Linked DNA regions of Diceros bicornis minor. The main gene of each other region encodes a partner of the protein of the gene in region 2 in a complex. Links are inferred from orthologs where the notes say so. Each region holds a gene or a part of one and is shown on either strand. Other genes may lie near its edges.

Region 1 (11,864 bases), on a different chromosome or scaffold from region 2:
AGGCCTGAGGGAAGCCCACCTGCCCGAGACTGCCCACCCTGGGCCTCCCGTCCGTCCGTCCGCCCGCCCTGCTGCCTGGCGGGCAGCCCCTGCTGGACCGAGGCACGGACCAGAGCGGCTGAGGACGGGCCAGAGCTGAGCTGGCTGGGCAGGGCCACAGGGCACTCCGGCAGAGGCAGGGCCCTGGGGTCTCTGAGCAGTGGGGAGAGGGGCCAACCTGGCCCCCAACGGAGGGGCTTGGAGCACAGACTGAAGCCCCATCCTTCCCCAGCCACCACCAGAGCCGCCTGGGGGCCGCAACCCCAGCTGGCTGGGTCACCCCTCCTCCAGCGCCTGCTCCTGGCAGCCTCGGCTCCACCTCTTACCCTCTTCTTACCCTCGCCCCGCCTCCACTTTACCCCATCCTCCGAGCTGGCCCTGCCCTTCCCCGATGGCAGACCCTGACCCCCCCGCTGGCAGCCGCCTCCCAGGGGCGCGCTCCGGCTCCCGTTGCCTCCGCCCGACCTTCTCCTCCGGACTCCAGAGGGCCGAGCCTTGTCTTTGCCTCCTCCAGCCTGCAGCCCAGGATGGGCTTCCAGACGCTGGCTCAGGACTGTCCTCAGCCCTGCCCACCACCTTGTACAGGTCCAGCCCTTCCCGTGTCCGAGCGCGTGCCTTCCCCTGCGGCCCGTGCGCAGCCGCGCGCTGCCCCTCCGTCCCAGGGCCCGGCGCGCACCGCCCCACGACCCGGTGTGTGCAGTGGTGATGCCTAAAGGAATGTCACGAGAAGTTCGGTCTGTGTTACTTGTTGACGCCTGCAGGGGTGTGAAGGAGGGCAGGGAGTAGAGGGAAGATTCGAGGGCAGCCTCAGGCTTGGGCGGCGGCAGCGGGGCTCCCAGGGTCCGCGGGCGAGGCCGAGCAGGGGCCGGGATCCGGCGGTCTCCTCGGCAGGCGGCGGGCGGCGGCGCGGCGGCGGCGGCAGGCGGTGAGCACGGAGCCCAGCGCCAGGCAGGCGGCCAGGCTGGCGAGGAAGGACAAGGGCCCTAGTGCGTAGACCACGGCCAGGTCCCGCGGGGCGAGTGACTGTGCGCAGTGGCGGAAGGCGGCATCGGGGAAGGCGGTCAAGGGCCTGAGCGTCAGGCTCACCGGCGACACACAGAGCAGCGTCTCGGTCTCTGCGGGACACGGGGTGGCGTCAGGAGGCGGCGGCGGCGGCGTCAGTGGCCGCCCCCGCCCGCCCGCGACCCCAGGGCTCACCTGGCGCGGGCCGTGGGTGCCTGCGCAGCCACATGCAGAGCGGGCGCAGCGCGCAGCTGCAAGCCCAGGGGTTGCCGCGGAGGCGCAGCGCATTGAGAGCGGGCAGGCCGGCCAGAATGCCGGGCGCGAGCGCAGACAGCTCGTTGTCCTGCAGACTGAGCTCGTGCAGCAGCGGGAGCGCGCCCAGCGCCGCAGGCTCCAGGCGCTCTAGCCGGTTGCCGGCCAGCGAGAGGTTGCGCAGCGCGCGCAGCGGCGCGAAGGTGCCGGGCGCTAGCGCCTCCAGCTGGTTGGCGCTGAGGTCGAGCTGCTCCAGAGCGCCCAGACCCCAGAAGGCCCGCGGGTGCACCCAGTGCAGCCCATTGCCGCGCAGGTCCAGGTGCTGCAGCGCGCCAGCGCCCACAAAGGCGCCGGGCGGCAGCGCGCGCACGCGGTTGTGGTCCAGCAGCAGCGCGCGCACGCTCCGGCTCAGGCCCGCAGGCACGGCGGGCAGCTCGCGCCCCGAGCAGTTGGCCTGACCGCCCGATGCGCACGCGCACGCCTCGGGGCAGTCCGGGGCACCCGGGGTCCCTGAGGGGGCGGCCGCAGTGGGCGCCTGGGCCCAGACTGGCCACGGCGACAGCAGCAGCAGCAACAGCGGCGGCCGCCGCTGCAAGAGAAAAGAGGGACTCCGCATGGGGGCAGCGGTGGGACCCGCGGTGGGAGGTCTGCTGTACGTGCGTCTCCGGAACCCGTCCGTCCCCGGAGCCGGTCCGTCCCTGCGGCACCCTCACAGATATTAACTCTCCGGCTCGAGGGCCGGCAGTTCCTGTCCCATGGCTGGTCCCGCGCCTAGGGCGGGGGCTGGGCACATAGCCAGCGCCCGGCACTGCCAGCCATCTGTCCCAGAGCCCTGGGCTCCTCTTGGCTCTGCGCCAGCAGCGGCGCTGAGGAGACGCCCCCCCTCCTCCCCTGCTTCGTCCACCACCCCTCGCCCCACTGAGGCCTGAGCAGCTGGACACCCCGCCACACCCACCCCTGTACCCACCGAACTCATGGATGCCACACACGGAACGGGACCCAGTGCACCTTGCTCCTCACCGCCGCCTCAGGCTCAGCAGAGTGACCCTAGTGCACACACACAGTGGCCCCCCACATAAGGACGGTCCCATCCTGATGGCGGATGATTGGTGGGGCACGAGCACATGATGGGGCTGAGCCCAGAGGCAGGTTGTGGGGTGGAGGAGGAACTGCACACCTGGCGCAGGGGAGCCCAGTCAGGTCTGCCCCACCCTGCCCTCTAAGGACTCTCCTGGAACCTCAAGGAGACTTTGTGGGTGGGGCAGGGCACCAGCCCAAGTCCTGTCAAATGCTGCTCCCTCTGGAGTCGCCAGAGTTGTAGGTCCTGTCCTGGGGGTTTAGGGGGGTGGGGGGAGGCAGGGGCCCAAGAGCCCTGCCAGCTTCTTGGGACAAAGCAGCAGGAAGATGCAGGGAGGAGCTGGGCTGAGACCATGGCAGGAGGAAGTGGAAACACCAAGGGTGTGGCTCCCTGCCCTGGAAGGTGGACAGTGGGTGCCTGGTGTGGAAACGGGGCACCCCCATCGAAGATAAAAGAAATGACCCAGGTGCGCTCAGACCCCTCCCCACCCCATGACACAGCTGCCCAGTGGGGTGGGGCTCTAGGAGGAGCCGGCAGGGACGACAGCACAGAACTACTAAATACTGTTTAATTCCCCTTCCCCCTCGCTGTGCAGCCCTACTCAAGTGGTGGGGGTGGGCAGGGCGGCTCCTCCAGAGTCACACATGCAGCCGTCGAGTCCATGGGGATGGTCATGAGGCCGTGATCCTCCAGGGACGGCATCATGGAGACCTCCAGGTCAGGCTCCACAAGGTGGGACTCCACATGCACCGTGTGCAAGTCCATGTGATCTTCCTGCACCCCGAAGTGCCCCACCAACCTGCACGCCACGGGCTGGGTCAGGCCAGCTGCGGGTGGTGGTCAGCACCGGCTCACGAGGCCTTGACCGCCCAGGGCACACCCAGCCCTGGGGTCAGTGCCCCGATGTGTCTGTGAACCACACGTCCCGGGGCAGGGAGCAGGGACACAGCTCACCCTTGGCAGGCCTCCCCTAGGGTCACTCACCTGCTGTCCATGTGTCCAGGACATGTTTCACTGGAGAGGACAAAGGTAGATGTGAATCCTGGAACAATGGGGCTGGCCTACAGGACCCCCAAAGTGCCCTCCGCCCCCCACCAACCCCACAGCCTGGGAAATGCCATTCCCAAGCCCCTGGTGACATCCACCAGGGGCAGAGGCCCCTCTCCTGGCAAGACCGAGGGCCCAGGGTGGGCATCATGGCCCTCACCCACCCACCCCAGTCCTGGGGCTCACGAACCCCTTGGCTCGCAGGACGCCAACCGCCACGATGACGAGAGCACAGAAGCAGCTGGCACTGACACCCGCCAGCACCACGAGCAGGGCGATCAGGGCCTCGCGGCTGAGGCCAAGGCTGCACTCGCAGTAGGTTCCAGCTGCAGAGACAGGGCCATCGTCACCCACGGCGGAAGACCCTGGGGTGCCACCCACCGTGTGGCCACCAGGACATAGGTGCCTGGCCTAACTGGACCAGGGAGGGCCTGGCTGGGGCAGGGCATGGGGGCAGGAGGCGGCACCTGCAGCTGGGATGAGCAAAAGGGACACACATATCAGGCCGAGGGGGCTGCCGACGAGGCAGGAGTCAGGCTGGGGACGGGGGGCCATGTCCAGCCCCCGGCCCCAAGGCAAACCTCTGGACGGAACTCGTCGGAAGGCGCTGACGTCACAGTTGGGCTGTGAGGCAGGGAGGGTGGGGGCAGGGCCCCAGCTAGAGTTTCACTCGCCCCTGGGCACCTGGATTTGAGGAGCTCTGAATAGGCAGCCCTGGGGGGAGGGGGGTCAGGTACGGTGGACAGGAGCCACTCCTAGTGCACTGGCCAGATCTGAGGCAGAGAAAATGGTGGGGCTGCCCCGGCCTTGGGGTAGCGCTTCACAGGGAAGGGGTGGGGCTCACACTTGGGCCCCTGAGGTGGTGAAGATAGTGGCCGAGTGACCTGGAGGTCCACAACGGGCAGCCCCGGGCCTCAGTTTCGGCCTCAGGGTAAGAGGTGCAGCAGCTTGGCGGGGGGGGGGGGGGGGGGGGGCTGACCGATGTCACCACCCTCCCCCCAAGACAGGGACAAGCAGGGGCTGAGGAGGCTGGGGTGGGCCTGTGCCTGCTGCCCTCACACTGGCTGTTTTGAGGAGGGTCCTGCCCACACCCCAGCAATGCCCAGGTCTGGAGGGCCCCTCAGGGATCCCCAATCACCCAGGACGGGGGTGGGGGGCGCTACCCACAGGCCACAGCTTTCCCAGAACACCCTCCTCTAGGAGCAGGTGGCTCAGAAATGACTGCAGGCAGCATCCAAGGCTTGGCTTAAACGTGGCATTCAAGTTAGAGCCCACTGCCACCTCAGGGCCCACCTGCCCGCCCCTCCAAGGGTCTGTTCCCTGTGCAGCTTCCTGCAAACTAGGCAAGCACTGCCCAAGGGACTTGCCTGCAGGCTGGTGTGGTCAGGGTTAACCTCATCCTCCTCCCCCACTTCCTGCACTGGCCCTTCCCCCTCCCCTGAGGCCCTGCCAAGCCAACCACAAGCAGGAGGAAATGCCCCGTCCCACAATGACCCCGCTGGGTGCCAGGGAGAAGGGCACAGCTCTGCCCCAGCTGGCCCCTGGCCACCATGGACCTCTGTGACCCCTGGCACAGGTGCCCTCCTCTTGGTGGGGCCCTCGGGGAACAGCCAGCAGCTTGTGGCACACTTCTGTGCCTCATGAGTGATACTGTGACCCAAGACACGCTGGACTTTACTACACTTGTCCACAAACTTGAGTCCAAAGGGACAAGGAACAGGTGTGCCAGTGCCCGGGGGCTGGTGCTGCCACCCTGCTAGGCCAGTCCAGCCGGTTTGCATCCTGGTTAGGATGATGAAGGTGCACCCAGCCCAGTGCCAGGCGGGGCCTCCAGCAGCACTCAGAGGAGGGCGGGAAGCCCTCTTATGCCCATAGCACAGCCAGCACTGGAGCGGACTGGTGCGCAGAGCCCAAGGGAGGGGGCTGTTGGCTCATCAGACTCCTTAAATTGCTAAGGCTAGGGGCCTCACTCCTACCATTTCCCCCTTCAAACCCCGTGCAAACAGAACTCTCTGGAGTGAGAGGGGCAAGTCCTGGAAGTGGGACTGCTGTCAGGACCCCACGTGGAACAGGCCAAAGCAGAGAGGTAGGGTGAGCGCTGGGCTGGGAGGCAGCCTGGTGGGGACCCGGAAGCTGTGCGGGGCCTGGGATGCACCTGGGATGCACCGCGAGCAGGCAGGAGCAGCACAGCGGAGGCGCTGGTTCCAAAGGGCCTTTGTTGCCTGTGAGGACAGCGCCGCCAGACTAGAGCGGTTCCTGCTAGACCAGTGAAGGTCTCAGCAACAGAGGCTGTAGTGCCCAGGGCAGCTGTGAAGGCCTCGGGCCTGGGCAGAACTAATGCCTTCCCCTGCCTCCTGGGACCTGGGCAGTGGCGGGCCCCAGTATGGGCCTTGGACAGGACCCAGTGCTCTGGACGCATCAGCCCCACGCCCCTGCGCCTGGGAAGGCTGGGCTCACGGGGTCCTTCACCTTAGGATGCGAGCACCGAGGCCACACGTCTCGCAGCACGAAAGTAACTGGCCTTCTGAAAGCACACTCCATCGTGAGCCCCGAAGCCTGCAGCAGCCCGACCCTATGCGGGGCAGATGGACAAATGCCGGGTCCTCCTCGCCACAAGGGCGTGTCCCAGGCAGCCCCTCCTGCTGGAGAGGTGGCAAAGTCTTGGCTTAGCAGCAGATGCTTGGCCACCACTTGCCTCTTGTGGGGCCCACACGTCCCAGCAGCAGCCCTGGGGCTCTCGGCTCAGCACCTGGGGGCCACACCCTCAGGCTGGGCAGAGGCAGGATGACCCGAAGGCTCCTTTCAAAGGCCAGAGGAGTGAGGCTGGAGCTGGAGGCCCTGAGGTGGCTCAAGGGCAGCCAACCCCTGGTGCACTGCTGCTTGAGCCTCGGGCTTCAGATTTGAGGCCCTTCCCCAGCCCGTGCAGTCCAGAGACACCCAGATCCCAGGGTTCCTTCAGGTTTGGAGCCCAAAGGCAGGGGTGCAGGCCAGGGCTGGGCCTGGCCACTCGTGCAGCTTCCCTCACCTGCTCCCAGGGAGCCAGGCCCTGCCAGGTTGAGGTGGAGGCCTGTCTGGGGGGAGAAGCTGTATCACGTGTCCCTGAAGGGCCCATAAAGCCACCAGGACAGGGAAAGAGTGAAGAACCATCTGCTTTACTCTGCACTCTGGGGGCTGGGCAGGGGCATGGGGGGTGCTGGGCATGGCGGGGAGTGGGGATTGCTGGTGGGGGACCTGAGAAGGACATGCCGAGGCAGGGATGAGGCAGGGATGGCGTGGGAAGGGCCTGGCAGGTCAGCTGCAGTTCTTGGGCAGGCGGTAGACACCGGCCGAGTAGATGAGCTGCTGGTCGCGCACCTTCTTCTGCAGGAAGCCCTGGAGCTCCTGCAGGTCGATCTCGGCCAGTGCGGGGCCCGTCACCACGAACATGCGCAGCATGCTGTAGATGCGCTCCAGCGAGAGGCTCTCCAGGTTGGTCAGCATGGCCTGGATGTACGTCCAGAAGAGCTGGGGGGACAGTGTCCAGGCCGGCCGTCAGGCAGGCCACCCTCCAGGCGGCCACCACACAGAGGCACAAGCCGGCTGCCACCCCCCACCTCACACACCAGCAGCTCCTCCTCCTTCTGGTCAGCCTGGGAGGCCATGCCCGAGTCGCTCTCCTCGTCGCTGTCGATGAGCACCATGTTGTCTCGGTCCTGGGGCCGCTCCTCCTCCACCACAGAGAAGGTGCCAGCAGGCTCCTCCCGCAGCACGCCCTGCTGCAGCCACACCGACATCCGCCGGCGCAGCAGCGCCATGGGCATCTTCACCACCTTGCTCAGGTCCTCCAGGGTCCAACTGGCTGTGCAGGGGCAGCCAGGCACTCTTGGCAGACTGGGCAAGGCCGAGCCTCCCCCTGCCTCGTTAGCCCAGCTCAGCTTCCCAGAGGTCAGCAGGACCACGAGGCCCAGCCAGGCCCCGTGGGAAAGGGGAGGAAGGGGCTGCTGCCTGCATGGTCCCCCCACCCCGGCAGACATAGAGCCGTGCCCAGCACTGGCCCCCAGGAGGTGTGGCTGGGGCAGGCCAGTTGGGGACCAGTGGGCTCACCTTGGTCCTGGAAGTACAGCAAGACCACCGCCTGCACGGGGGTTACCGCCACAGACAGGGTGCGGTCGGCCAGCTCCACGTCCATGGTCACCAGGCCGAGGGTGTGCTTCCAGCTGAGGGTCCGCATGGCCTGGGGAGGGCCAGGCTCAGCACAGGCAGCCCAGCGGGTCCGGCTAGGCCCAGCTGGACGAGGCTCTGCTACCTGACCCCAAACGGGGAAAGGGCTCCCTGACCTGCTCCCCACACTCCCGGCAGGCTGGCAGGCAGTCAGCAGCAGGATGAGCATACAGTGGGGCTCTGGTCCCCGCTCCTTCAACCACCACAACGTAACGGCGAGGACCTAACAATGAGGGCCTAACAGTGAGCACCTAATGGCAAGGGCTGCTGCTATGAGTTGAACTGTCTCCAAAACAGACATCCACATCTTACCCGCCCAGGACCTCGGAACGGGACCTGACTTGGAATCAGGGTTGCTGCAGATGTAATTAGTTAAGATGAAGCCTCCCTGGAGTCCGGTGGGCCCTCATCTAATATGATTGGTGTTCTTCCAAGAAGAAGTAAGATGGTGTGAAGACAGACACACAAAGGCGTGAAGATGGAGGCAGAGACGGGAGTGATGTGGCTACAAGCCAAGAAACACCGAGGACTGCCGGCACCACCAGACACTGGAAGAGGCAGGAAGGACTCTCTCCTGCAGCTCTCAAGGGAGCCCAGCCCTGCCGGCACCGTGGCCTCAGACTCCAGAGGCCTCCAGAACCGAGACCAGACATTGCTGCTATTTTAAGCCACCTGGTTTGTGGTTCTTTGTTAACGGGGCCACAGGAACGCAATTCAGATTTTGGTCCTGGGATGGGGGTGCTGCTGTAACAGATACCTAAAAATGTGAAAGTGGCTGTGGAGCTGGGTGATGGGTGGCGGCTGGGAGAGTTCTGGGCCACAGGTTGTAAAAGCCTGGATTGCGCTAAACAGACTGTCAGTAGAAACACGGACAGCAGAGGCCACCCTGGCGAGGGCTGTGGAAAGGAACACATGTCAGTGGAAAGCAGATGGGCGACCCTCGTCAGAAGGTGGCAGAGACTTGACAGAGCTGTGTTCTGCTGGGTGTGGAGCAGAACTTGCAAGTGACGACCTTGGATATTTAGCCAAGGAGATTTCCAAGCAAAGTGCGCAAGGTGCAGCCTGGTGTCTCCTTGCTGCTGGTAGTAAAACACACAGGAAAAAACCGAGGAAGGAAGTGGTGAGCCAGAGGAGGCAGCACTTGATCTGGACATTTTTCTGTGTGCTCTGGAGACAAAGCCATGAGTATGGCCAAAGAGATGAGCATGTAATGGTGGGGCTAGCCGGCAGGCTCAGAGAAGCCAGGACAGAGAGAGGCTGTCCAGGAAAGACGTGAGGGTCCACGTCCGACAGCTTGGACGCCCATTACCTGCTTGGAGGCCAACAAGGTTGCTGAGGATTTTATACCAGCAAAACGCTGCCAGCCTGGACCAAAACGGAGAGACGGCCAATGAGAGCATGAGTCTGAGGGGAGCTGGGGTGCCGAGGCCCGGCCTGGTGCGGGGACCGCCCCTGCAGGCTGAGAAGATGGCCTCAAGCCAAGGAAGATTTTCTCAGTCCTCGAAATCAAATCGAATTTCCTCCACTGGGTTTCAGACTGCTTCGGGCCTGTGACCCCTACCTGGCTTCCTTCCTGGTGGCTTCTCCATTTTGGAATGGGGGTGTCTGCCCTACACCTGTCCCACAACTGTCCTTTGGAAGCAGACAACTACGTGTCTGGTTTCGCAGGTCCACAGCTGAGGGGCACTGTGCTCCAGGAGGAACCATTCCTGAACTGACTGAGACGCTCTTTAGATGCTGAGATCTGGGGCCTTGAGTTGACGTGTAGATGAGATAGAACTTAGAGTTGGTGCTGGAAAAGTCAAGACTCTTGGGGATGTTAGAATTAGCTGAATGTATTTTTTATGTGAGAAGAACATGAATTTCAGGGGACAAGAGGGTGGACTCTTATGGGTTTAATTGTGACCCCCCAAAAGATGTTAAAGCCCTAACCCCCAGTACCTCAAAATGTAACCTTATTTGGAAGTCGGGTCAGCACAGGTGTAATTATTTAAGATGAAGTCGTACTAGAACAGGATGGGTGAGCCCTTAATCCAATACGACTTGGCATCCTTATAGGGAGAGGAAAATTCAGAGCGAGAGAAAGACAGGGAGAAGCCACGTGCTGACAGAGTCAGAGGTTGGAGTGGTGCAGCTACAAGCCAAGAAGTGCCTACAGCCACCAGAGGCTGGATGAGATAGGAAGGCCTCCCCTCTGGAGCCTTTGGAGGGAGCACAATCCCACGACACCTTGATTTTGGACTTCTAGTTGCCAGAACCAAGACAATAAACTTCTGTTGTTTTAAGCCTCCATTTGTGGTACTTGGTTACGGCCACCTCCAGGACACCGGTACAGTCACAGGGCCACACACTGCTCTGAGTCCTTCTACAATCCCCACAGCTCGTAAAGGGGAGCCAACAACCATCTCCACTTTGCAGAGAAAACCAAAGCAGAGTCGCAGGTTGCCTGGGTCGCAACCAGTAGAGGTGCAGCCAGGCGCTCTGGCTCCAAGGCCACGACCTTTACAGCCACCACTCCAGCCAGTAGCGGGGCAGATGCAAGGCCCAGCAGCAGACAGCATGGGCAAGGATGCTCTGTGGGCTGCATAGCCACCCACATATGTCCAGCATGGTCCTCAGGCCAGGAGTTCAGCTGGTCAGAGACAGAGGCACCATGGCCACAGGCTGCCCTCTCGACACAGCCCTGGGACCTGCCCTAGCCACTCCAGTGTTTAGCTGGAGTTAAGACCAAGGGTACTGGAGTGTGGCCATCACATCAGGTACATTGAGCCAGGACCCTGCGTGGTCCCCAGGACCCAAGTGGAGACCCTAGTAGAAGCCAGCAGGGCCTCCCCTGGCAGGGGTAATGCAGAGCAGAGGGAGGCTGCACACCAACGGGTCAGCCAGAAGAGGCAGGGGGGCACCGAGCACACAGATCTCCTCAACCAGGGGGAGGCGTCTGCAGTGCTGGCAGGCTCCACAGAGCGAGTGCCACACCGTGGACAGGAGCGGGAAGTGGGGAGGCCTGGCAGCCAGCGCTCACTGGAGCCTCCCCACTCCAGGATCCCGCCCTCACCTGTCTCTGGAAGGAAGCTCCCCTCTAGGGACTGGCTGTCCTGCACTGAGCCCTCCTCTCCTAGCAACTAGGTTCCTGGCCTGTAACACCAAATGCATCTACACCCAGCACCTCTCTCACAGCAAACCTGGAGAAGCTGCCGCCCCTCCTACCGCCCAGCCCTGCTCGGCCCCCCACCCCACTCCACCCCAGCCCCACCTGCCTCCCTCCCAGGGCTTCGTCCAGAGGGCTCCTTGAGCCCTGGCTGCTCCCCGCCCCCCATCTCTGGGGGTGTCCCGGGTGCTCCTGGGGCTCAGGTTCTGCACCCTAGGTCCTGCTGGACTCGGCCTCGCTTGGGTGCCCGGCATCCCCTCAGGCCCGAGTGCTCGCTGGGCTGCACCCTGTGCCTTCTCATGCCCCACAACCCACTTGTGAGACTGAATGCCCCAGAGCCTGCTCCTCCACCTGTCCCCAGAAACCTGGTATGAGTCCTAACTCCCTCCTCTCTCCCGACACATCTCTGCTGAACCATCTCGTGGAAGGAAGAGTCCTCCCTATGTACTCTCAACCCCTGTCCACACCAGGCCCCATCTTCCCACACCTCCCACCTGGACTCCCCGCCCCAAGAATGCTGGACTCAGCTGCTGGAAGAAACAAGGACTAAACTAGGCCAGTCCGCATCCAGGCCGCACCCCTGACCACACCACATGCCTCCGGTGCTCCGGTCCCTCTCCTTCTCTGAGCCCAGGCCCCCGGGACCCTGACAGCAGTCAGCACAGTGCTGGTGCTCCAGCGCCCTAGCTCACAGGAAAGCAGCTTCCAGAGAAGTAAGCTGGGAAAGGTCCGAGTCACAGAGGTCAAATGCCTCAAAAGCAATCTGGAGACTTCCTGGACGCTACTGGGCAGACGCCACAGCCCCAACTCTGCCTGGGGCAGGCGCAGCACCCCACCCCCCAGTCTGAGAGGCCAGAGAGTAGACAGTGGAAGAAGAAGCCCAGACAGGAGATGCATCCCCACCCCAGGTGTGTGCGGGAGCACATGCTCACACGCCCATGCACACATGCACACGCACAGGGTCCTAGGTGGGGACGGCAGGGGGAGCAAGCGTTGACTGCAGAGACGGCCACACCCAACTGCCCCTGCACAGCCCGGCACCATCCTGGGCAGGCCGAGTTTGGAAGGGTCACCAGGTCAGGAACAGCCCGCCTGCCA
Region 2 (12,293 bases):
TGCTACAAGAAATGTTAAAGGGACGCATTTAAGGGGAAAAGAGAAGACCACAAATAGGAAAAATTATCTATTTCCATGATTAGAACGTAATGGATACAAATGCACAAAAAAGAGGTTAGATATGATATCAAAAACATAAAAGGAGGGAGGAGGGGAGTTAAAGAGTACAGCTTTCAGACAGAGGTCAAACTAAAGTGACCATCAATTCTGTATAGAAGAAGTAAGGAACAGAGAAGGACTACTACAACACTGAGGAAAAAAAAAATTAAAAAAATGGCAGTAAGTACATACTTATCAATAGCTACTTTAAATGTCAGTGGACTAAATGCTCCAATTAAAAGGCATAGGGTGGCTGATTGGATAAAAAAACAAGACCCGTATATATGCTGCATACAAGAGACACACTTCAGACCTAAAGACACTCACAAACTGAAAGTGAAGGGATGGAAAAAGATACTCCACGCAAATGGCAATGAAAAGAAAGCTGGGGTAGCAGTACTCATATCAGACAAAATAGAATTTAAAACAAAAACTGTAAAAAGAGACAAAGAAGGGCATTATATAATGATCAAGGGAACAATCCAACAAGAGGATATAACACTTGTAAATATCTATGCACCCAATGTAGGTGCACCTAAATATATAAAGCAATTATTAACAGACATAAAAACAGAAATAGACAGTAACACAATAATAGTAGGGGACTTTAACACTCCACTTACACCAACGGATAGATCATCCAAACAGAAGATCAATAAGGAAACATTGGCCTTAAATGACACACTAGAACAGATGGACCTAGTAGATATATACAGAGCATTCCATCCAAAAACCGAAGAATACACGTTCTTTTCAAATGCACATGGAACATTCTCCAGGATTGATCACATATTAGGCCACAAAACAAGTCTCCATAAATTTAAGAAGATTGAAATAATACCAAGCATCTTTTCTGACCACAACAGTATGAAACTAGAAATCAACTATAGGAAGAAAATCAGAAAAGCCACAAATACATGGAGATTAAACAAAATGCTACTGAACTACGACTGGGTTAATGAAGAAATCAAAGAAGAAATAAAAAAATACCTGGAGACAAATGAAAATGAAAATATGACATGCCAGAATTTATGGGATACAGCAAAAGCGGTTCTAAGAGGGAAGTTTATAGCGATACAGGCCTATCTCAAGAAACAAGAAAAATCTCAAATAAACAATCTAACAATGCACCTAAAGGAACTGGAAAAAGAAGAACAAACAAAGCCCAAAATCAGTAGAAGAAGGGAAATAATAAAAATCAGAGCAGAAATTAATGAAATAGAGACCAAAAAAAAATAGAAAAAATTAATAAAACCAAGAGCTGGTTCTTTGAAAAGATCAACAAAATTGACAAACCTTTAGCTAGACTCACCAAGAAAAAAAGAGAGAAGGCACAAATAAGTAAAATCAGAAATGAAAGAGGAGAGGTTACAACAGACACCTCAGAAATACAAAAGACTATAAGAGAATACTATGAAAGGCTATATGCCAACCAATTCGACAATCTGGAAGAAATGGATAAATTCTTAGAATCATACAACCTTCCAAAACTGGATCAAGAAGAAGTAGAGAATTTGAATAGACTAATCACCAGTAAGGAGATCGAAACAGTAATCAAAAACCTCCCCAAAAATAAAAGTCCAGGACCAGACGGCTTCCCTGGTGAATTCTACCAAACATTCAAAGAAGACTTAATACCTATCCTTCTCAAACTCTTCCAAAAAATTGAGGAGGGGGGGAAGCTCCCTAACTCATTCTACGAAGCTGACATTACCCTGATACCAAAACCAGACAAGGACAACACAAAAAAAGAAAATTACAGGCCAATATCACTGATGAACATCGATGCGAAAATCCTCAACAAAATACTAGCAAATCGCATACAACAATACGTTAAAAAGATTATACACCATGATCAAGTGGGATTTATTCCAGGTATGCAGGGATGGTTTAACATTCGCAAATCAATCAACGTGATACACCACATTAATAAAATGAAGAATAAAAATCACATGATCATCTCAATAGATGCAGAGAATGCATTTGACAAGATACAGCATCCATTTATGATAAAAACTCTGAATAAAATGGGGATAGAAGGAAAGTACCTCAACATAATAAAGACCATATATGACAAACCCACAGCTAATATCATCCTCAATGGTGAAAAACTGAAAGCTATCCCTCTAAGAACAGGAACCAGACAAGGATGCCCACTGTCACCACTCCTATTTAACATAGTACTGGAAGTCCTAGCCAGAGCATCAGGCAAGAGAAAGAAAGAAAAGGGATCCAAATTGGAAAGGAAGAAGTGAAACTGTCACTATTTGCAGATGACATGATTTTATATATAGAAAACCCTAAAGAATCCACCAGAAAACTTTTAGAAGTAATAAACGAATATGGTAAAGTTGCAGGATACAAAATCAACATACAAAAATCAGTTGCATTTCTGTATACTAACAACGAAGTAGCAGAAAGAGAAATTAAGAATACCATCCCATTTACAATTGCAACAAAAAGAATAAAATACCTAGGAATAAACTTAACCAAAGAGGTGAAAGATCTGTACACCGAAAACTATAAAACATTTCTGAAAGAAATTGAAGACGACGCAAAGAAATGGAAAGATATTCCGTGCTCTTGGATTGGAAGAATTGACATAGTTAAGATGTCCACACTTCCTAAAGCAATCTATAGATTCAATGCAATCCCTATCAAAGTTCCAACAACATTTTTCACAGAAATAGAACAAAGAATCCTAAAATTTATATGGAACAACAAAAGACCCCGAATAGCTAAAGGAATCCTGAGAAAAAAGAACAAAGCTGGAGGTATCACACTTCCTGATTTCAAAATATACTACAAAGCTATAGTAACCAAAACAGCATGGTACTGGCACAAAAACAGACACACAGATCAATGGAATAGAATCGAAAGCCCAGAAATAAACCCACACATCTATGGACAGCTAATCTTTGACAAAAGAGCCAAGAACATACAATGAGGAAAAGAAAGTCTCTTCAACAAATGGTGTTGGGAAAACTGGATAGCCACATGCAAAAAAATGAAAGTAGACCCTTGCCTTACACCATGCACAAAAATTAACTCCAAATGGATTAAAGACTTGAATGTAAGACCTGAAACTATGAAACTTCTAGAAGAAAACATAGGCAGTACGCTCTTCGACATCGGTCTTAGCAACATCTTTTCAAACACCACATCTGACCGGGCAAGAGAAACAATAGAAAAAATAAACAAATGGGACTACATCAAACTAAAAAGCTTCTGCACAGCAAAGGAAACCATCAACAAAACGAAAAGACAACCTAACAATTGGGAGAAGATATTTGCAAACCATACTTCTGATAAGGGCTTAATCTCCAAAATATATAAAGAACTCATGCATCTCAACAACAAAAAAACTACCAGCCCAATTAAAAAATGGGCAAAAGACCTGAACAGACATTTCTCCAAAGAAGATATACAGATGGCCAACAGACACATGAAAAGATGTTCAAAATCACTAACTATCAGGGAAATGCAAATCAAAACTACAATGAGATATCACCTCACGCCCGTCAGAATGGCTATAATTAACAAGACAGGAAACAACATGTGTTGGAGAGGATGTGGAGAGAAGGGAACTCTCATACACTGCTGGTGGGAGTGCAAACTGGTGCAGCCACTATGGAAAACAGTATGGCGATTCCTCAAAAAAGCAAGGATAGAACTACCATATGATCCAGCTATTCCACTGCTGGGTATTTATCCAAAGAACTTGAAAACACCAATTTGCAAAGGTACATGCACTCCCGTGTTCATTGCAGCGTTATTCACAATAGCCAAGACTTGGAAGCAACCTAAGTGCCCATCAAGGGACGAATGGATAAAGAAGCTGTGGTATATATACACAATGGAATACTACTCAGCCATAAGAAACGATGAAATCCAGCCATTTGTGACAACATGGATGGACATTGAGGGTATAATGCAAAGTGAAATAAGTCAGAGGGAGAAGGTCAAATACCGTATGATTTCCTTCATTAAGTAGTAGATAATAACAACAATAAACAAACACATAGGGACAGAGATTGGATTGGTGGTTACCAGAGGGGAAGGGGGGGAGGGAGGAGGGTGAAAGGGATAATTTGGTACATGTGTATGGTGATGGGTTGTAATTAGTATTTTGGTGGTGAACATGATGTAATCTATGCAGAAATAGAAGTACAATGATGTACACCAGAAATTTTTACAATGTTATAAACCAATAAAAAAAAAAAAAAAGTTCACCCAAAATGAAGCTTCATTTGGAGAATTTCTGCAACACCAAATCCACTAAGAATCCTCAAATTTCGCACCCTGGCTGTAAATTTGGGGGTTAGCCTGGCAACTCCCACCAGCACCCTGGGTGTGCTACCTTGCTCCAGAAATAAAAAACGACTTTCGCCGCAGCAATGCTTCCTAGCTCCCCAGCCCCTCCTGGGTGCCTCTGCCGGTCATTATTTTAAATAAATGAGCCTATTATGAAATGTTTACAGGTACAAAGAGATGGAGCTGCTTCTGCCTCCGGAAGAGGAATGGACTTTCAGGAACAATGACTTGCTTCAGCAGCACTTCTGTCAAAGCAAGGCAAAGAGCACAGGACAGATGCCGTATCTCACCCAGGGTCTCCGCAAGCAGAGGCTGCTCAATGGCGAAAAGGCTCTTAACGTCAATTTTGGTGCTGGAGGAATCGGAACGTGATCCCCTCAGAGGTTTCTGGCTGAAGATGGCTCAAGGAGGGAGATTCAAGACTGAAATGGCTTCAAAGAAGCTAACTTCTCTGGGAAGGACCTGGCCCTTGGAGATGTGACCCCCTCCTCACAAGGCATCCTTCATCCCGCCCAACTCCATGGTCACGGGCCCTGCTCCCTCTGCTAGATGCTTCCCTTCTCTGTATATTGAGATACACCTGGAAAGGAGTCCAGAAGAAAAGAGTTCTAGGAGATGAGTGAGAAGCACAGGCCTTATCACACAGGGAGAGTTTTCGGATTTATTTTTAATGAAATGCAAAGCCAGGAGAGGGCCACGCAGGGATGCCCCTGGACTATACCCTGCTTCTCTCCAGCTGCTCCGGACAAGAGGACTAATCTTCTCTCTCCTTCTGCAGTTCTCCTAGTGCCTAGCACATTGCCAAGTGCATAATAGGTCTGCCGTAAACCCTTGCTGCCTTTGCTGATTGAAGGACAGTAGAGGGAACGAGAAAACATAGAAACATTTTGGGCTGCAAGGGCACAGACTATCGCTCCCCCACTCATTTTATCCATGGAGGCACCGAGGCCTTGAAAGGGAATTGACTTGTCCAAGGTCACCAGAGAGGTTTCGGCAGAGCCAGGATAAGAACCCAGTTTTCTGCTGATCACAGTTCCTCAGATGAAAGTAAGTGATTGTCACCTCTACTCTCAGATCCCAAACTGATCTCAAACACGGTCACCAATCCCCAAGGCCCAGAGACACACATAGCATGAACCTAGGTGAGTAAACTTGTCCTTTCTGATGATCTAAGCTTTCCTCCTGGAGAGGTCTAAGGTGGCAACCAAGTTGCCCACCTCACGGCTCTGGGCAGCTTCCCTGGGAGCCCACGTAGTTGCCTGTGGGATTAAGCAGGTCCTGAAAACAGCCGCTTTCTTTGCCGGAAGTTATTTTCTCCCCCAGGGCACAAGCCCAGGCAGAAGGCTCTGTGAGTACCCGGCTGGTATAATTAGCTCCAGAAAGATCCAGCAGGACACACAAGGAGGATGGTCTGGACTCCTCCCAATGGGATTCCAAATCCCACGCCTTCCTGTGCAAGTAGGGGTCCAGAGGCCAACAAACCCAGCAGGCTGGTGTGGCAGCCAGGGAACCAGTAGCCTCTGCCCTCTGCAATGCCACCTTTTTGTGATTCGGCCTCTGTTTCAAGCTATTTTTACTGTAAACAAAGCCTGAATTTGAGGGAGGGTGGTGTGGGAACAGGGTCTTTTCTTCCTCTCTGCTTTTCAACGAGCTGCTCCCCGTTTCCCTTAGGACAGTTGCTCCACCAACAGCCACAAAAAGGAAAGGAAAAAAAAAAAAGACTAAAAAGAGAAATGGGGTAAAGGTCAAAATTGAGCCTCTTTGCTAAGGCAGTCTGGGAAGAGTTCTAGGAACATGAGGGTTTCTCAACCCTTCAGATTAATCTGTTGGATTCTAGATTCTCCACAGGTATAAGAAACCAGTATGCCCAGTCCATTTACTTTCTGGATTAACCCACCTCCCACAAACAAGGAAGGCCCAGAGGTCTGCTTGCCCAGGGAGGAGGCACAGTTTACAGGTAACCTTCCAGGCCCTCGGGAAAGATCTGTGTCCCCGCAGGCTTGGGAACTGGGAACCAAGTTTCCACTCAGACAGGCCCCTGGCTTCAGCTTCTTTGTGCCTGCCATGCCAGCACCAGGCCAATTTTCTGAACTAAAATTAACTGGATGGGCAAAAAGATAGCCCTGGTGCGTAAGAGGCCTGGGTGCATCTAATTCCTTAGATGCACCCAGTAATCGAGTGCCCTAATTCCTTAAGAAAGACAGAGAAGCAACTGTCCTGTCCTACTTCCCTCACTACTCAAACACAGGAGAATATTTTTTGCAATAAAATTTTTAGGGCAAATGGTGGATTTCTGTTGTCATTCCCCTGAAGTAGCTGTTTTTCTGGAAAAAGCCTCACTCTGGACCCAGACCCTAAAAATGGGGCTTCTAGTGCACCAAATTGGGATGTTTGGGGCCTGGAGGCATGCATCAGTCTGCCTCCTCCTAAACATAGCCTAGTAAACTAAACTTGGAAGCATTAGCTTGCATGTGGTCCCAAGTGTGACTTTCCAAGCACGTGCTTCCCCGCAACGACAATGGCTGGCGACTTCGTCATCATCATCATCTCTATTTTTGAGCATCCCTGCTAAACCAACTTCCTTGCAGCGGAAATGGAGGCTCTAAGGAGAGTCTCAGTCCACCGGCATATTTTTCTGGCAAATAGGGGCTGCTACACTACTGGCATCCTCCGAAGGCCCCTGGGGAAAAGCTGGGTGAGAAGCTCTCCCAGCCCAAGATGGTGGGCTCCAAATACAGGCATTCCATTTCCTACAGAGCCTCCAGGGGGCGCCAGCTCTTACTGGTGGAAGGGAGGAAGGGAGGGAGGGAGGAAGGAAGGAAGGAAGGAAGGAAGGAAGGAAGGAAGGAAGGAAGGAAGGAAGGAAGGAAGGAAGGAAGGAAGGAAGGAGTGAGTCTAACACAGTTGCTCAGGCCCCTTGAGTCCAGCAACAGGAAGACCCAGGATGTGAGATCAAGATTAGAAGAGTCAGGCTCCCAGGCCTGTCCAAGGGCTGATGCGCAGGTCACAGGCTCTGATTTATCACCAAACTACTTCACAAATCTTGCTACCCAAAAGCATTGTAACAAAATGCAGTCATCACATTTTCATTTCAGCACTGTGGATGATTTCACTTTACAGATTTTGCTAGAAAAACCAACATGTGTCCAGTGCCTTGAATAGCGTCTGACACCTAGCAGGTGCCCCAGGAACGTTTGAAGGAAAGGATGAAATAGCTCAGAAGAGACGCCTTGCATGTACAGGAGAATCTGTCTCCTTATCTTCTGGTGACTTACACTTTCCTGCCTCCTTCCAATGGATTTGTGGTTGTTGCACACCAAAATGGATATTAAAGACACCTCCCTGCATGCTGGTGCTGACGTGCCCTCTGAAACCAGCCCTGTGTCTGTCAGCCTCGCCCACACCCAGGGAGGACTGGACACAGGGACCACAGTGAACGCAATGAAGACGCATCTGTCATCCTGCCAAGGTGTTTCCTGTGATACACGCGCTGACAACGCACAGCTCCCAGGGAGAGCCCAGCCTGCCTTCGGCCCCCGGCCAGCTCGGGGAGGCTATAGGAAGTGAGAATTTCCTGGCTGACTGGACAATGGTGAGTCAGGCTGCATGAGCCAGCTTCAGAAATGACAGGGTCTGAATTGTGTGCGTGGAGCAAACATCCTCAGCTGGCTGGACCGAAACCAGGCCCTGCCTGAGACACTCAGACCCCTTTCAAGTGGCCATGCCCAAAGCTAGCTCAGTACTCTGAGAGGACGTCTGGGTTTGGTGAGGTCTCAGGGCTGCTCCATCTCTGTCCCAGGAAAGGATTTATTCTCCTCTCCCTACCCCGTGTGTCTCCGCACGAGCCCATTTCCTCCAGGACATACTGACTGGGCTCACACAACAATAACAAAATAATAATCACTAATGCTTATTAGGCACTAACCATGTAATAAGCACCATTCCAAACATTTCACATGTATTAATGCATCAAATCTTCACAACAACATTAAGAGACAGGGACTATTATTATGCCCATTGAAGGGGGATGAGGAAACAGAGGCACCAAAAGATGAAGCGACTAGCCCAGGGCAAAAGCCCTAGGGAGTGGTGCAGCTGGGACTCAGCAGAGTGACTGTAGAGGCTGGGTTCCTAACCGCCCTACTGTACCACACATAGCAGCCCTCCACTTTCCAAGGGCCTCAGCACCCCTTCCCACAAGTGCATGTTCTGGGGAGAGAGGAAAAGCAGGAGCTGGAGACCTGGGGATGCTAAGTGCTCCACCTATCCTCCTTGTTGGTTCCAATCAAATGAGAAGGTGACACAAGGAGCCAGACGGAGATCAGAGGAGAGTAGGAGCCCCAGTTCAGATAACGCTGGATCAGCAAGGGGGCAGGGCTCCTATCTCCCAGTCCCGACAGAGAAGCTGAAACACAGAGAACAGATGCACTGCTGACCGGCAAGGGAAGGCCCTGAAGTGCCCTGCCTTATTTATTAGGCACCCACTGACTGGGTGCTACATTCAATTCTGTGTTCCGAGGAACACCAGTAAAGGTATGTGGACTGGAAAGATGGATGCATGGATATAGATGGATGAACGGACAGACAGATGAGGTGGAAGGACAAAGCAAGCACCCACTTCCCCCAGAAACTCCAGAGGAGAGAGGCAACAGCAGCATCAGCACTTGCCACGGGAGCCCAGAGGCCCTGGGAGCCAGAGATGAATGGCTGGGACGAAGCAGGTTGCTCCTGGGCCAGGAGGATCTTCCTCTCTCTAGAGCTGAAGACTGATTTCTGAACCTCTCCTTCCTTTTCACAGGGGAGGTCAGAGAAGCCAGCACACCAGCTAGTAAAATTAACAGCTGCTCTTTACAGAATGCGCTGGAGAGGTCGGCACACCGAGCACGTGGCCTGCAGCAGCCAGCATGGCTGAGGCGCCTGGCCTGCAGGCCCGAACCAAGAGTGTCCTCGTGGTAGGGACTAGACTCTGGGCTGCCGGGAGAGGCCTGGGGTGTGCTGACTGCAGGGGATGCAGACAGGTGGAGGGAAGACTTCGGGAATGACCCTGCTACAAATTCCCAGACACTTTCCACTGACCTTGGGAACGGGAAATCCATATGCTGAGCCAGCTGAGAACCTGCTGTGGAACTTGGGGGCCCACTTGGCTCTGGCTTCTGTCTCCACATGTCTACCGCATCATTTAGTTGAGCTTGTGGAAGTAAATGTAGCGGCTCTCCATGAGAAGGGGATAGATGGTACATCTTATCAATCACCTTGTGCCACGAGGAAGAGTGGACCAAGTCCCACTGGCCACTTAGAGAGGAATCTTGACAGTCATAGAGCAGAAGGGGAACTTGATGATCTAGTCCCGAGGTTGGCAAACTTTTCCTGTACAGGGCCAGACAGTAACTATTTTAGGCTAGCGGGTATTTCGGACTCGGTGGATACTACTCAATTCTGCCGTTGTAGCGCATTGCAAAAGCAGCCAGAGATGATATGTAAATGAGTGAACATGGCTGCGTCCCAATTAAATCTTGTTTATGAACACTGAAATTTGAATTTCATATAATTTTCACATGTCACAAAATATTCTTTTGATTTTTTTTTAAAATGTAAAAACCATCCTTAGCTTGTGAGCTGTACAAAACAGGCAGTGACCCAGCTGTGAGCCACTGGTCGCAGTTTGCCCATCCCTGGGCAGTTACACGTTTCCCAAAGTGTGTGCTTTGTGATGCCTACAGGTGCTTCACAGGGAAAAGGTTCTGTGGTGAAAGAGGAATGGGAAATGCTGGGCAAAACGACGTCCTGCTTTCTTACTGCAGGACTTCTTCGCGCCTTACACGCTGATACACATGGCCATCTTGAAAGGGGATGAGAAATGAATTCTGTCCAAGTTCCATTTTTATCCTGGAGCATCTCCTAGATCTAGTTTTCTGTAAAACCTAATTAAAACAACAAGGATGAAGTCTGACCAACAGTCAGCAACAGCACCACCAAATGTGATGCTGCCTCCCTTTGAACATCTCCAGTGACAGGCAGTTCACAACCTATTGTGGGTGCCTGCTGGATTCAGTGACTCCTCTGACTCATGTTTCCCCATCCAGTGATGCTGGGTCACCAGTAACAAATCTAGTGCAATCTAGTGCATCTTTCTTCAAACGAAGACAAAATTTCATGTTTAATAATATAAAGAAAGCACACCTTCAACTTATTGATTCATACCCAAAATATAAATTCTATTTATGGGTATTATAGGATAAAATGAAGAGCCATTATCAAGTCCTGGAGGGGAATTACCACATGCTTCCTTGAGAAGAAACCTCACTTAGGGGACTTAAAAAAAACTCAAATGAAATCTCAGTTTACTCCCAATTGCACAGAGCAGGACCTAAATGTTTGCTATGGGAGCCTTCTTACTAAAAATACAGGCCCTTGAAGCCTCTGGTCTTTAGGTACGGCATTTGTAGGTGATATAAGAATTTTACGTAGATTTGCCTAAAATGTACAAAAAAAAAAGGTAGGGGGGAGCATAGATGAGAGGAAGAGAGAGTAAGATGGAAACGTGAGCTGTGTGTGAATTTACCACCAGGTACCACTGAAAAAAAAAGTAGAGGATGCTGAAGAAAATGTCACCAGCACCACGAGCCACCTAAAGGGAGAAATGAAGGCCATGAATGTCACATATTTGATCAAGTGTATACCCATGTGCACCTCCACTTTGTTCAACTGGTCCAATTTCACGTGCAAACAGCACAGCAGGGAACGTATCTATTTAACTCTATTAAACCAACAGGATTATTTGTATTTGAAAGACGTACACATTTGATACATATTTTCTTTTGGGCCCTAGGAGATAAGGATGGAGTGGTCCAGCCTGTGTACACAATGTTAATGTAAAATGCCATACATGCGATATATTTGGGAAGATAAAGGGAAAGACCGGTGTTTTTCTTTCTCCTGATTTCGATAGATCATCCCCCTCACGTTAAAGCAAGTAGCACATATTTTCAGTTCATGGATTAGATGTGTATGTTTCCTGGAGCAATATCCAAATGTCATCGCATGGAAATATGGGGAAAATAACCAAAAAGAGTAATTCTAAGGTCTCTATCTTTTTTAAAGGGAAGGTTCTGCTTGGTTTTTTTTTGGACATGAAGGATTTTTTTTTTTTAAATAATTTTATTTATTTATTTTTTCCCCCAAAGCCCCAGTAGATAGTTGTATGTCATAGTTGCACATCCTTCTAGTTGCTGTATGTGGGACGTGGCCTCAGCATGGCCAGAGAAGTGGTGCATCGGTGCGCGCCCGGGATCCGAACCCGGGCCGCCAGCAGCGGAGCATGCACTTAACCGCTAAGCCACGGGGCCGGCCCTAAGGTCTCTATCTTTGCTCAAGGAGCTGATAGCTATATTGGCAAGATCAGTCTTTGAAGAGCAGCACAAAACATGAATCTGTAAAGGGGCTGAGGTACAGCCCAGGCAGTGTAAACACAGCTTACACCTTGAGGTGAGGCCCTGCTTGGCCACAAGACATAGTTTTCCTAGGGAGACAGTCACTGAGGTCAAGGTGGAAATTATATATGAATACTCAGACATAAGGTGCTAATGGAGATGGTGTGAGCGTGTGTGCCTGTATTTACCCGTGTGTGTCTCTGTGTGTCTATAACTTTTCCCATTATAAATGGGTTCTCTAGTACTCTTGCTTTTGTGCTATATTATTTTAGGAAATTCCTTCCTAAGGAATTTCTTTCAATTTCTGCCTTTCAATTTCTTTATTTATAAAATAAGGAGTTGAACAAGACGAAAGAGTCAGCAAACTATGGCTCATGAAACAAATCTGGCCCACCACCTGTTTTTGTCAATAAAGTTTTACTGGAACACAGTCACACCTGGTACATGTCT

The links.
Region 1: the proteins of KCNMA1 (region 2) and LRRC26 are in contact, whole or in part, in a cryo-EM structure (PDB 7YNZ), measured with the Homo sapiens proteins. The link is inferred for Diceros bicornis minor from reciprocal best matches to the Homo sapiens genes KCNMA1 and LRRC26. Residues at the interface, in NP_001154824.1 of Homo sapiens: Pro78, Cys79, Asp80, Ser81, Arg82, Gln84, Trp88, Ala92, Ser93, Val96, Thr97, Glu155, Trp158, Met159, Ser161, Val162, Trp165, Cys206, Leu226, Leu227, Phe229, Gly230, Leu231, Phe233, Ile234, Asp251, Phe252, Pro256, Phe259, Val260; in NP_001013675.1 of Homo sapiens: Gly204, Cys205, Gly206, Cys207, Ala208, Arg236, Leu237, Ala249, Phe250, His252, Cys253, Ala254, Gln255, Leu257, Arg260, Asp261, Leu262, Val264, Val265, Tyr266, Leu268, Gly269, Pro270, Ser272, Phe273, Ser276, Leu277, Cys280, Leu281, Leu283.

The regions. Positions count from the first base shown.
Region 1 is NC_080767.1:43,701,325-43,713,188, forward strand, and holds LRRC26 (leucine-rich repeat-containing protein 26), read right to left. Parts: upstream 2,114-11,864; 5' UTR 1,910-2,113; coding exon 1,237-1,909; intron 1,155-1,236; coding exon 847-1,154; 3' UTR 633-846; downstream 1-632. Other genes in the region: TMEM210 (transmembrane protein 210), read right to left, coding at 2,969-3,170, 3,356-3,385, 3,609-3,744, 3,886-3,973; ANAPC2 (anaphase-promoting complex subunit 2), read right to left, coding at 6,710-6,922, 7,021-7,256, 7,502-7,631. UniProt on the Homo sapiens protein: Auxiliary protein of the large-conductance, voltage and calcium-activated potassium channel (BK alpha). Required for the conversion of BK alpha channels from a high-voltage to a low-voltage activated channel type in non-excitable cells.
Region 2 is NC_080745.1:29,680,745-29,693,037, reverse strand, and holds the start of KCNMA1 (calcium-activated potassium channel subunit alpha-1), read right to left. Parts: upstream 4,936-12,293; coding exon 4,907-4,935; intron 4,766-4,906; coding exon 4,704-4,765; intron 4,659-4,703; coding exon 4,579-4,658; intron 1-4,578. UniProt on the Homo sapiens protein: Potassium channel activated by both membrane depolarization or increase in cytosolic Ca(2+) that mediates export of K(+). It is also activated by the concentration of cytosolic Mg(2+).